3 linked regions of the Ovis aries genome follow. The protein of the gene in region 3 purifies or fractionates together with the protein of the main gene of each other region. This does not show direct contact. Links are inferred from orthologs where the notes say so. Each region holds a gene or a part of one and is shown on either strand. Other genes may lie near its edges. The genes, in order: ANAPC13, ANAPC7 and ANAPC2.

Evidence for each region.
Region 1: the proteins of ANAPC2 (region 3) and ANAPC13 purify together in Homo sapiens (affinity purification with mass spectrometry; 3 studies listed by BioGRID and IntAct, counting the BioPlex papers as one, with this or other methods). This does not show direct contact. The link is inferred for Ovis aries from reciprocal best matches to the Homo sapiens genes ANAPC2 and ANAPC13.
Region 2: the proteins of ANAPC2 (region 3) and ANAPC7 fractionate together in Homo sapiens (co-fractionation; 6 studies listed by BioGRID and IntAct, with this or other methods). This does not show direct contact. The link is inferred for Ovis aries from reciprocal best matches to the Homo sapiens genes ANAPC2 and ANAPC7.

The regions. Positions count from the first base shown.
Region 1 is NC_056054.1:255,496,184-255,499,873, reverse strand, and holds the start of ANAPC13 (anaphase-promoting complex subunit 13), read right to left. Parts: upstream 2,824-3,690; 5' UTR 2,515-2,823; exon of another isoform or gene 2,394-2,514; coding exon of another isoform or gene 2,362-2,393; exon of another isoform or gene 2,340-2,361; intron 2,310-2,339; exon of another isoform or gene 1,362-2,309; intron 1,236-1,361; 5' UTR 1,204-1,235; coding exon 1,105-1,203; intron 1-1,104. Other genes in the region: CEP63 (centrosomal protein of 63 kDa), read left to right, coding at 2,824-3,069. UniProt on the Homo sapiens protein: Component of the anaphase promoting complex/cyclosome (APC/C), a cell cycle-regulated E3 ubiquitin ligase that controls progression through mitosis and the G1 phase of the cell cycle.
Region 2 is NC_056070.1:54,333,980-54,337,624, forward strand, and holds part of ANAPC7 (anaphase-promoting complex subunit 7), read right to left. Parts: intron 1,080-3,645; coding exon 893-1,079; intron 1-892. UniProt on the Homo sapiens protein: Component of the anaphase promoting complex/cyclosome (APC/C), a cell cycle-regulated E3 ubiquitin ligase that controls progression through mitosis and the G1 phase of the cell cycle.
Region 3 is NC_056056.1:747,667-751,411, forward strand, and holds the start of ANAPC2 (anaphase-promoting complex subunit 2), read left to right. Parts: upstream 1-1,378; 5' UTR 1,379-1,406; coding exon 1,407-1,514; intron 1,515-1,761; coding exon 1,762-2,384; intron 2,385-3,521; coding exon 3,522-3,654; intron 3,655-3,745. Other genes in the region: microtubule nucleation factor SSNA1, read right to left, coding at 136-243, 564-763, 1,150-1,201. UniProt on the Homo sapiens protein: Together with the RING-H2 protein ANAPC11, constitutes the catalytic component of the anaphase promoting complex/cyclosome (APC/C), a cell cycle-regulated E3 ubiquitin ligase that controls progression through mitosis and the G1 phase of the cell cycle.

The sequences.
Region 1 (3,690 bases), on a different chromosome or scaffold from region 3:
GGGCAGGAAACATCCTTATGTTTACCTAGTCTTAAGGCACACAATAGGCTTCAAAGAACTGCTTGTGGAATGAAAGAACCAACAAAAGTCCACAGGACAGGATCTGGAGCCTCACAGACCTCAGTGTGAAGTCTAGCTTATTAGCTACCAACCTTTGGGCAAGATCTCCTCTTTGATCCTATTTTCTTCCTGTACAGTGGGGACATCATCATCACCCCTGAAGGTTCTTTTAAGGATATAGATAAAATAAGTCAGGTTTCAACCTCAGCCCATGGCACAAAACAGGTATTCAATGAAAGTGGAGCTATAATTCTTATTATGCTCTTTTGATTATTTTTCTAAACTTGAACTAAGCTGTCATTTATTATCTGTTACGTGTATTATTCCTTGAACACATTACCTCTTATTCTTAAATGAAAACATGTATGGCCACAGCAGACCACCTGCTTGCAAATTCTATTTAATCAACAACTCTTGGCAGGCTCTACAGAAAAACAATCCTTATTCTTCTTGTTAGGCTTCTATGACAAAAATTCTATGACAGAATTTTTAGTAAGCATTTATTCGAGTAAAACGTTTAGATCTTATGACGTGAGGCTTAACAAACTCCCTGCAGAATAATTTTCCAGAGATTAGGAAAGAAAAGAGCTTGATGATCTAAATGTAAAAGAAGAAAAGCCAGGTCTCTTCTGAATATTTTCCAGGGAACCTAGAATAGATATGTGTTCCAAAACTGTGAGTTTCTAAAAATGACAGGCCACAGGTAGAGAAATTAAGTGCATATACCACTGCTTCCTGTTCCTCCTCATGGTGTGCATTAAATTCTTTACTCCCTTTGGTGTGGTGGACAGAACATGGCTCAGAGGGCCTCAGTTCTAGTTCTCATATGACCTCTAATTGAGCTAGTCACCTCAGCAATCTGAACCACATTTCTCTTCAAATACAAAGTTGAGCTAAATACTCTCCAGAGGTTTCTAGAGTCAGAGGACTCCATAGTTTTGATTTCTTTGACTTTAATTTATTTGTCCATTGATAACCTACACCTACTAGGGTCTACCAGATCAGACCTTTAACCCATCACCCTCAGCACACATTTCAGCCTACCAGTGGTATTGCAACATCCTCATAAGGCAGCTTATCTTCTCGCCAAGCATCGTCAATCAAATCCAAGATCCTTCCATCTCTCTGTACCTCACTGTCCATTCTCTTGCAGCTTTGATCTTGTCGGATGGGACCTGTAAACCAAAGAGGTTATTTCTTAAACATGAAGAATGAAAAGATGATGTAATCCAGCCACTAGGGTTCTCTAGGCTTTCTAGTGTGGGTTTTGGCATTGGATCATCCAGGGAGACTCATCTCACCTGGATTAGATTACAGTTTCTTTATAACATCACAGTACCTCCCAGCTGATCTTCCTAGTCACACACAGATTCCATTTTTTGGTAAAGTTTTCTCGGATCACTCAGCGTCAGCATGCATTCTGCCCTTGAATGGTTCCTTGTTTTTATGATTCACTAGGCAAGTTAAGTTGGCTTTATGACTGATGGTTCAAGCATTATTGTTTTCAATTGCTGTGCGTAAATTTTTTATTAATGATTCAGCATGTTTTCCCTCAATTTGGCCTCAAATAGTTTTTCACCTATTCTTCTTTAGAATATATCTAACTTGTCACACTTTCCAGCCTTTGCACCTAAAAAGGTCTCTCTGCCCCATCACGAACACCTATTTTTCCTTCCAAACTCAAAGTTGAGTGTCAGCTCATCGGGGCTAACATCTCATTTCCAGAGTTAGGCGCTAAGGTGCCGTCACTCTTCAGGGGCTGGAAGCGTGGAAAGTACAAGGCGGGCAATGACCAGGTCACAGCCAGCGTCCCAGGCACTTGCCAGTCCCCATAATTAACTGTTACCACTTTCCTGAACAAAATCTTACACACGTGACTGTCCCAAAGCTTGGAATGCTCTGTCTTCTTCCTTTTTTCCTCAGCTAACCCCCAGTCACTCTAAACAACTTAGCTCCCAGGTTGCCTCCTGCAGGAAGCTTTCTCTAAGCTCCAAGAAGAACGCGATATCCGCCCCTCCGCAGGTTCCATATTTCCCGGGGCGCAGTGAATGGGCCCCATCAGGGGCTTGTTACATTGCCCGTTACAGGGTCTTCCCAGACAAGCGGTGCGTGCGTTTCTTCGGGACAGGGGCAGTTTTATTCACCTCTGTTTTAGAGATCGGTAAACTTGCAGTTAAAAGAGCAAACCTGGAATGCCCTTTCCCCCCCGCTAAATATGACCCTCTCGGGCCACCACCGTCCGTACAGGCGTGGGATCCCGCCCCATAACCTCGGCTTCCGGCCCAAGGCGGGCTCTACCAAATGCGGAAGCGGGGGAAGTCCAGGGCCTTCGTGTAAGTCCTTTTCTACCCTCCCGACGAGCGGTAAGGGAGGTAGTTATCAGGGTGAGGTGAGGGCAACGACCTCTGCCGATAGGATCGGCCGAAACCCGAACATGCGCTTCTCCTACACTACCTAAGCTAGGGCGCGGGAAACCTTTACCAGCACTGGCCCAGCACAGCCAGAACCACGCCCCCAGCGGTCATGTGGCCGAGGCGCCCTGCTCTCCGATCCCCGGAAGTCGGTGAGCCCATTTGGCGGGGCGGAGGGGGGGGGGGGTCAAGGAGGACGTTGCTTCAATTAAAAGTCAGGGAGCAGTAGGCGGAACGAATGTTCCGAAGACCGTGACTGGACGTCAGGTTGGCGGTGACGCGCGTGCGCGCCCCCGTCCGGAGGTAACGGCGGGAAGATTCGGGGGCGCGCTCGTGGCAGGCCTGTAACCGCATGTGTGAAAGTCCAACAGGCGACGGGTGCCGGTGTCCGGAGCCGGAGGCCGCCCTGGCTGCAGTGGGGCCGCAGACTGAGCGGCCGAATGGCCGGGGGCCGACTTCCTCAGCCGCCCGCTGGCCTCCAGGCTCGCCTCCGCCGGCCCGGCTCCGCCCCGGCGCCCCGCCCCTCCTCGCCGCAAACGCTTCGCAGACCCGCGAAGCAAGATATGGCCTCCCACGGCGCGCAGTCCGGGCTAGCCAGGTGGTCAGCCCTTCCCCTGAGGCCGGCCGGCGGGAGGGCGGCGGGGTGGGCGAGCTGCTCCGCTTCTCCCAGCGGAGTCGGCAGCGAGTCAGGCTGCCACTTCTGGGGAGGTACCCCCGGCCCAGCCCTCCCGCCTGGGCTGCCTCATTTGGCTAGCATCCTTCCTAGCCTTGTTGAGGCTTAGGTTGCTGACGGCAGGTGATAGTGGTTCATTTATGGGTGGGAAATTTAGCAAGTTTTTAAAAATAATTGACTTAAAAACCATAATGTTAGTTCCAGAGGTATGGTAATGTGGCAGAAATCATGAAGGACAGAATTTGGGGAACCCTGAACTTATTGCTCCATAGAAATCAGGGATGCGAAATAAAGTGAGAGAAAAAAAGGGATGGGCCCATAAAGCACTATAATCATGAACATATTTGGAAGCAGTAAACCTAGGCTCATAATGTAGTTTTTACAACATCAGAGAGTAAAAGTGAGCTTGCTGTCAGCGACTCGTGTTCATTTACAGCGTCTAGTTAAAGCATGCGTATTGCGCAGAGTAGTTTTCCTTAAGGCTTACAAACGGTTCCTTAAACCAGTGTTAACATTTTTTTCCTTCCTTTAATAAAACAGTACTGT
Region 2 (3,645 bases), on a different chromosome or scaffold from region 3:
TGTAGTTTCTTACCATTATAAACAGTGCTACAGTAAGCAGCCTTACTTATATACCCTTGCAAACCTTTTGTGAATCAATTACAGTAAATATCTAGCAATGGTATGACTGTCAAGTGGTGAAATTAGTTTTTTACCCTTCATTTATTTAATCATCAAGCAACCAAAACTAGTAAGAACTCGTAAGATAATTTCATATGAATTTCCCCAGGTATTCACAATCCTAAGAACTGACTGACATCTTGAAATTTAAAAAAAAAAAAAAAAAACCATTTTAGACTTAACTCTGTTTGTATAAAAGGGAGGAATAATACATGACTTTGGTTAGAGCCCAGATAATTCTATTTTTCAATTCATCCAGAGTGAATTTTGTTTTTAGCCCTTTGTGCTTGGTTGGATGAATTCTTGTACCTAAGTGGTTTTTAACTTTTGTTTCTCCAGTCAGCTCCCCTTTAAAATTACTTTAAAATTTTTTAATTTATTTCTGGCTGTGCTGAATCTTCATTGTTGTGCAGGCTTTTCTCTAGTTGCAGTGAGCAGCGGGGGGCGGGGGGGCAGGCTGGTCTCTAGTTGCAGTACACAGGCTACTTATTGTGGTGGCTTATCTTGTCAACCACAGGCTCTAGAGCACGTGGGCTCAAGAGCACAGGCTCTATAGTTATGGTGCATGGGCTTAGTTGCTCCGGGGCATGTGGGATCTTTCCAGATCAGGGATCAAACCCATTTCTCCTCCACTGACAGGCAGATTCTTTACCACTGAGCCACCAGGGAAGTCCTTAAAATTACTTTTTATTTTACATCTTCTACATCTAATCAGCAGTCTTACATTCCTTCCACCTCTCCTGCTCTCAATACAAACAAACCAGAAACATATCACACATCTATCTCCAATTACCTGACTCTGCGGAGTGGATGCAGAATTTCCAGTTGAAGGTCTCACTTTTGAAGTTTTACTTAGGGCTTTCTTTTGCTGTAAAGCCATAGTATACTTACTCACAGCATTCCGATACTCCTTATCATGAAAGAGAGAATCTGCATGATACACCAAAAGCTGGTACTTCTGAGATGGGGAGAATAACTCACTAGAAAAACAAAGAAAGTATACCCCCTACATGGGTTATTTTGAAATGTCAGAAAGAACGCCCTCCTTAGTGTCTACATAAGCCAAAAAACAAAGGCAATTACTTTAATTGCTAGTCCCTAAAAAAAGAGCCAAGACTCATACTCCATGTTAATACTGTCAACATATGTAGAAAATTGCCTTAAATTGTTTTCCTTTACTATGAAAATAATGATACTTCTAAATCAAATTCAGTAATACAGAGATATACAAAGAGAAATATTAATACAGCTGACCCTTGAACAAACCAGGCTTGAATTACAGGGTCCATCAATATGTAGATTTCTTTTTTCAATAGCACACACTACAGGAGTATATACCATCTTGGTAGAATCTATGTTTGCAGAACTGCAAACTCAAAGGAAATGCATACATAAAGAGCCAAATATAAGTTATATATTAATTTTTGACTGTGAGCCTCCTACCCTCCTCTGAAACTTGCTCAAGGGTCAGGTGTACATCTTTTCCTCCCCCTCTTTAACCCAAGCCCCCTTAAGAATTAATACTCTCACAGTAACATCGAGTTTTCAGGCTAATACAGACAAAGTAGAGCAATCATGACTTAATATTACCAAATACTGCCAAAGAAGGGTTAAAAAACTGCAAAAGAGAAACCCACCACTCTGAATCTTTTTTATCTAAGTGTTAACAAAAAGAGGTTTGGAGGGAATTTGAAACTCTTCAAATACTGAAGAAAATGGGAATATTTGAAATACAGAAAAAGACTAGGACAAGCCAATGGGACAGAATGGAACAGATGAGAGGATTAGCTGTATTTGATAGAAGCTGTTTTTCTCTCCATATGTAAGTAAATTTTACTGGGGCTTCCCAGGTGGCTCAGTAGTAGAGTCCACCTGCCAAGCAGGAGACACAGGTTCAATCCCTGGGTCTGGAAGATCCCTGGAGGAGGAAATGGCAACCTACTTCAGTATTCTTGCCTGGGAAACCCCACGAAAAGAGGAGCCTGACAAGCTACAATCCATGGGGTAGCAAAGAATTGGACACGACTTAGTAAGTAAACAGCAGCAGCAAGTAAATAAACTTCACTAGCACTAGAAGATTACTTCCTTGAGTCTCAGGGGTGTAAGGACATAGTAACAGAAGAAATACATTTCAGAATGTCCCCTTCAATATTGAATATTGCTTGCAAGTGTTATAGGTGCCAGAAGTGTCCACCAATCTTAATGGGAAACTTGTATTTTTAATCTCCAATCCCATCCCTCATCTAGTTAAAATTTACATTTTTTCTTTGACAGGGACAAGCTGTTGCTGCTAAGTCACTTCAGTTGTGACCAACTCCGTGTGACCCAATAGATGGCAGCCCACTAGGCTCCCCCATCCCTGGGAGTCTCCACGCAAGAACACTGGAGTGGGTTGCCATTTCCTTCTCCAATGCATGAAAGTGAAAAGTGAAAGTGAATTCGCTCAGTCGTTTCGACCCTCAGCGACCCCATGGACTGCAGCCTTCGAGGCTCTTCCATCCATGGGATTTTCCAGGCAGGAGTCGGGTGCCATTGCCTTCTCCGGACAGGCACAAGCTGCTGCCACTTAAAAAGAAAAAATAGTCTAAGAACTCTGTAGATGGTTAATTGCTCAGCAAATGAAGGATACTCAAGAACAGGTACCACGGATTAGTAACTGCCAAAGGCTGGGGCAAGTGGGATTTATGACTACTAACTGATTTGGGGTTTCTTTGGGGATAATACAAATGCTTTAGAACAAACATTGGTGATGGTTGTACAACTCTGTGAATATACTTAAAACCACAGAAATGTATTCTTTAAAAGCATGAATCTGATGGTATGCAAATTTTATCTTAATACAAAATAATTTTAAAAAAGGATAGGCTAAACACTGAATATAAAGTGACAAAGAAAAGTTAAGGATTGAAAGGTACAGTTCAGACAGTTGAGACCTATTCCAGCTCTGACATTCTATTTAGGGAGACACACTGGATCATGGAAAAAGCAAGAGAGTTCCAGAAAAACATCTATTTCTGCTTTATTGACGGTGCCAAAGCCTTTGACTGTGTGGATCACAACAAACTGTGGAAAATTCTGAAAGAGATGGGAATACCAGACCACCTGACCTGCCTCTTGAGAAACCTGTATGCAGGTCAGGCTGCAACAGTTAGAACTGGACATGAAACAACAGATTGGTTCCAAATAGGAAAAGGAGTATGTCAAGGCTGTATATTGTCACCCTGCTTATTTAACATATATGCAGAGTACATCATGAGAAACACTGGACTGGAAGAAACACAAGCTGGAATCAAGATTGCCCGGAGAAATATCAATAACCTCAGATATGCAGATGACACCACCCTTATGGCAGAAAGTGAAGAGGAACTCAAAAGCCTCGTGATGAAAGCGAAAGAGGAGAGTGAAAAAGTTGGCTTAAAGCTCAACATTCAGAAACTAAGATCATGGCATCTGGTCTGATAACTTCAAGGCAAATAGATGGGGAAACAGTGGAAACAGCGTCAGACTTTATTTTTTTGGGCTCCAAAATCACTGCAGATGGTGATT
Region 3 (3,745 bases):
GAAGCTTGGCAGTTGCCTCTCTCGGCACCAAAGACAACAAACCGAGAAAGCTGCTTCCCTGAAGAACAAAGGTGCTTTAAAGACAGGCTTGCGGGGGGCGCTGAGCCGCAGGCAGGACCCCCACCCGCGGCCTCATCAACTCTCTTTGCCTCCACTGCTCTTCTGCTCTGAGGCTGTAGCCTTCGTCAGGTTCCCCGCTTCTCGCTTCAGGACACTAAGCAGAGTCTGCGAGCTCTCCAGGATCTGCGGACAGAGACGCCAGCCAGTTAACACTCTTCCCCCCCCCCCCCCCCCCCCCACCCCCCGCCCCGTCGGAAAGTTGCCACAGCCCGGCGCCCCATCCTGCGCTGGGCCCGGCTCCCCTCTGAGTATAGCCCAAAGCCCACTGCTCACACCCCGGGAATCCAGGCCCCGGTTGGCTCCCGCTCCCGCTGCTGCTCAGTCTGGAGCCAGCGACACGGCGACAAGACGCCAACAGTAGGACCCAGGCCTCGCTGTCACTCCACGGGGGCCGACGACCTGTCTAGGCGCCCCGGGGCCAGCACCCGGACCCCGAGCCCCACCTTGAGGTAGGCGGCTTCTGTCTCCGCGATGGTCCGATCGAACTCGTTCCGAGAGGCGATCTTGCGCGCCAGGTTCTCGTTGACTCGGGCCAGCTTCTCCGTCAGCTGCCTCACCTCGTTCTGCAGCCTCTGCTTTTCCTCCTCCTCCTGCTGTATCTGCCGGCACAGCTCCTCCCGCTTCTGGCACAGCTCCTCGATGCCTGGGGCGAGCGGGGAGCGGGCGCGGTGGGCGCCGGGGGCCGCGGTGGGCACGGGAGCGCCGGCCCCAGCGCGCGAGGCGAGCGGCCAGCGAAGGCCCGGGCGTCCAGACCAGGCCGGCGGCCGGCGTCCCAGAGCGTCTGCCGTCTCAGGAGGCCCCGCGCGAGCCCCCGTGCTGTCTGTGGGGCTGAGCGCGCCCAGGCCCCCGCACCCTGCTCGCGCCATAGACGCCGGCTCTCGGGGCGGCCACTCCGCGGCTCCGCCCGGCGTCCGGGCCGCTCCGGCCGGAACAGCCGCGCGCGGCGGGCCAGCGCCGGCCCGGGCCCGCAGGCCGGCGACCCCGCCGCCCTCCCAGCCTGCCCGCCGGCCTCGCCGCGCGGCCACTCACACTTGACCAGCTCGTTGTTGTAATTCTGCAGCGCCGCGCCCTGCTGGGTCATGGTCGCCGCCGGGCCCCGCCGCCCCAACCGCCGCTGCAGCCCCCCTCAGCGCCTGCGCACGATCTCCGCTCGCCCCGCCCCCGGTCGCGTCACCGCCCCTGCGCCTCTCGCCGCGCACCGTGTGCGTCATCGTCGCGCGCGCGCGCCCAATTTGGCGTCATCGCGGCGCGCCTCGCCGAGCGGCTCTGAGAGCTGGTGGGCGCAGATGGCGGCGGCGACGGAGGCGGGCCGTGACGCGGGGCCTGCGCAGGAGCTGCTGGCGGCCTGGAACACCGTGAGCACCGGGCTGGTGCCTCCGGCCGCGCTGGGACTGGTGAGGCCCGAGATGAGGGCGACGGGCCGGCGCGGGGTGCCCGGGGCCCCGAGCCCGCCGGCGCCCGTCCTGGCTTCCCTGCGTGTTCCGCAGCCCTTCCCTCGCGTGGGCCTGCGTCCCTGCGAGGAAGGGCGGCGGGGTTCCCGTGGCCTTCCATCCGCGCTGTCCCTTTCCCACTTTTTCTCACCTGTCTCCACCCTCTCCGCCTCCGCGGTGCGTCCCCTTCTCATGGTTTTCTGTACTGCAGGCGTCCTCTCGAACCAGCGGTGCCGTCCCTCCAAAAGAGGAGGAGCTCCGGGCGGCGGTGGAGGTGCTCAGGGGCCACGGTCTGCACTCGGTCCTGGAGGAGTGGTTCGTAGAGGTGCTGCAGACCGACCTGCAGGCCAACATCTCCCTCGAGTTCTGGAATGCCATCTCTCAGCGCGAGAACTGTGCGGACGAGCCCCAGTGCCTTCTGTTGCTCCTCGATGCTTTCGGTCTGCTGGAGAGCCGCCTGGATCCCTACCTGCGTAGTCTAGAGCTCCTGGAGAAATGGACTCGCCTGGGCTTGCTGTTGGGCACCGGTGCTCAGGGGCTTCGGGAGAAGGTCCACACCACGTTGCGGGGCGTCCTGTTCTTTTCCACTCCCAGAGCTTTTCAGGAGATGATCCAGCGCCTCTACGGGCGCTTCTTGAGAGTTTACATGCAGAGTAAGAGAAAAGGGGAAGGAGGCACAGACCCGGAACTGGAGGGGGAATTGGACAGCAGGTATGCCCGCCGCCGGTACTACCGCCTTCTGCAGAGCCCGCTGTGCGCGGGGTGCGGCAGTGACAAACAGCAGTGCTGGTGCCGCCAAGCGTTGGAGCAGTTCCACCAGCTCAGCCAGGTCCTGTGAGTACTTGGCCTGCGTGTCCTGTGTCCCTGTCCCTCCTGGCTCCTGCTTGTCACTCTGGGTCCCGCCGGCCCCTGCAGAGAGCTGGTGAGCTAGCTGGGGGTGGTCTCTGCCGCTCGCCCTGGTTCCCAAGGGTTCTCAGGATGTGTGTTTTCTATGAGTTTATGCCTCTTGTCCTTGCCTAGGTGTGTCTGTTATTCACCCTGGCTCAGGTGAATTCACCTTTGTACTCTGCTTACGCTAAGACTGCTTGATTCTACGTGTCCCGGGCTGTGCAGAATTCTGCTGTGCCTGTTGTAGGCTCTCGGAAGTGGAATGACATTTGTCTTGGAATTGAGAAAAATACGCTTGCTGTTTCTTCTCTGTAGAGCAAGTCAGAGATTAGACCAGCATGCTGGGCAAACTGATGGCCTTTCTAGCCTTGTGAGGGGGGAAGGATTCTGTTGTCAGACCCAGGCCCTGTCGTGCGGGTCCCCGGCTCTCTGGGTGCTTGCTTGTGTAAAGTCCCTGTTCGCTGTCGCTGCGTCGGGTCTGGACTGCGGCGCATGGGGCCTTCGCTGGCCTGCACGGGCTTCTCTCTCACTGTGGCGTGTGCACTTAGCTGCCCCGCGACACGTGGGATCTTAGTTCCCTGACCAGGAATTGAACCTGTGTCCTCTGCTTTGGGAGGATTACTAACCCCTGGACCGCTCGGGACGTCCCGTGGCCCCTTGTGATGATTTTGTCAGTGTGAATGGAGTGGCAGCTGCGCAGCCGTCAGAGTCTTCTCACTGGGCTGACGGTGTGGCGTGCTCCCCAGAAGCTTGGTTCTCTTGGGCTTTTCTGCCATCATGGGTCGGGATCAGCACTGAGAAGCAGAGACTGCTACGTCTGTGTTCACGTGGCCGGAGTAGTGACTTCTCTAGCTATTGTTTGAGGGCCATTGTTAGGAGGTGGACGAGGCCTTGGCCCCAGTAGCCAGAGGTGCTGACCCCTTGGGGAGAGTGGGAGGTGCCTTACCGGTGCTGCCATCTCAGCCGCTTTGTCTTGAGTTCCTCGGGGCGGTTTTGCCCCAGCGGGAGGGCTGCAGGAGGCTGTGCTGAGGGTGCGCGGCGGGTGCGTGCGCTGCGTGCGACGTGGGCGGGGCTCTCCTCCAGGCACAAGCTCAGTCTGCTGGAGCGGGTCAGCGCGGAGGCTGTGACCAGCACCCTGCACCAGGTGACCCGGGAGCGGATGGAGGACCGTTGTCGGGGCGAGTACGAACGCTCCTTCCTGCGTGAGTTCCACAAGGTGAGGCCCCTCCCGCGGATGAGAAGAGGCTGCTGGCAAAAGTGACTAGGTGCCTTGGCTTTAGAAGTGGGCAGAGTGTGGTGACCTGGGT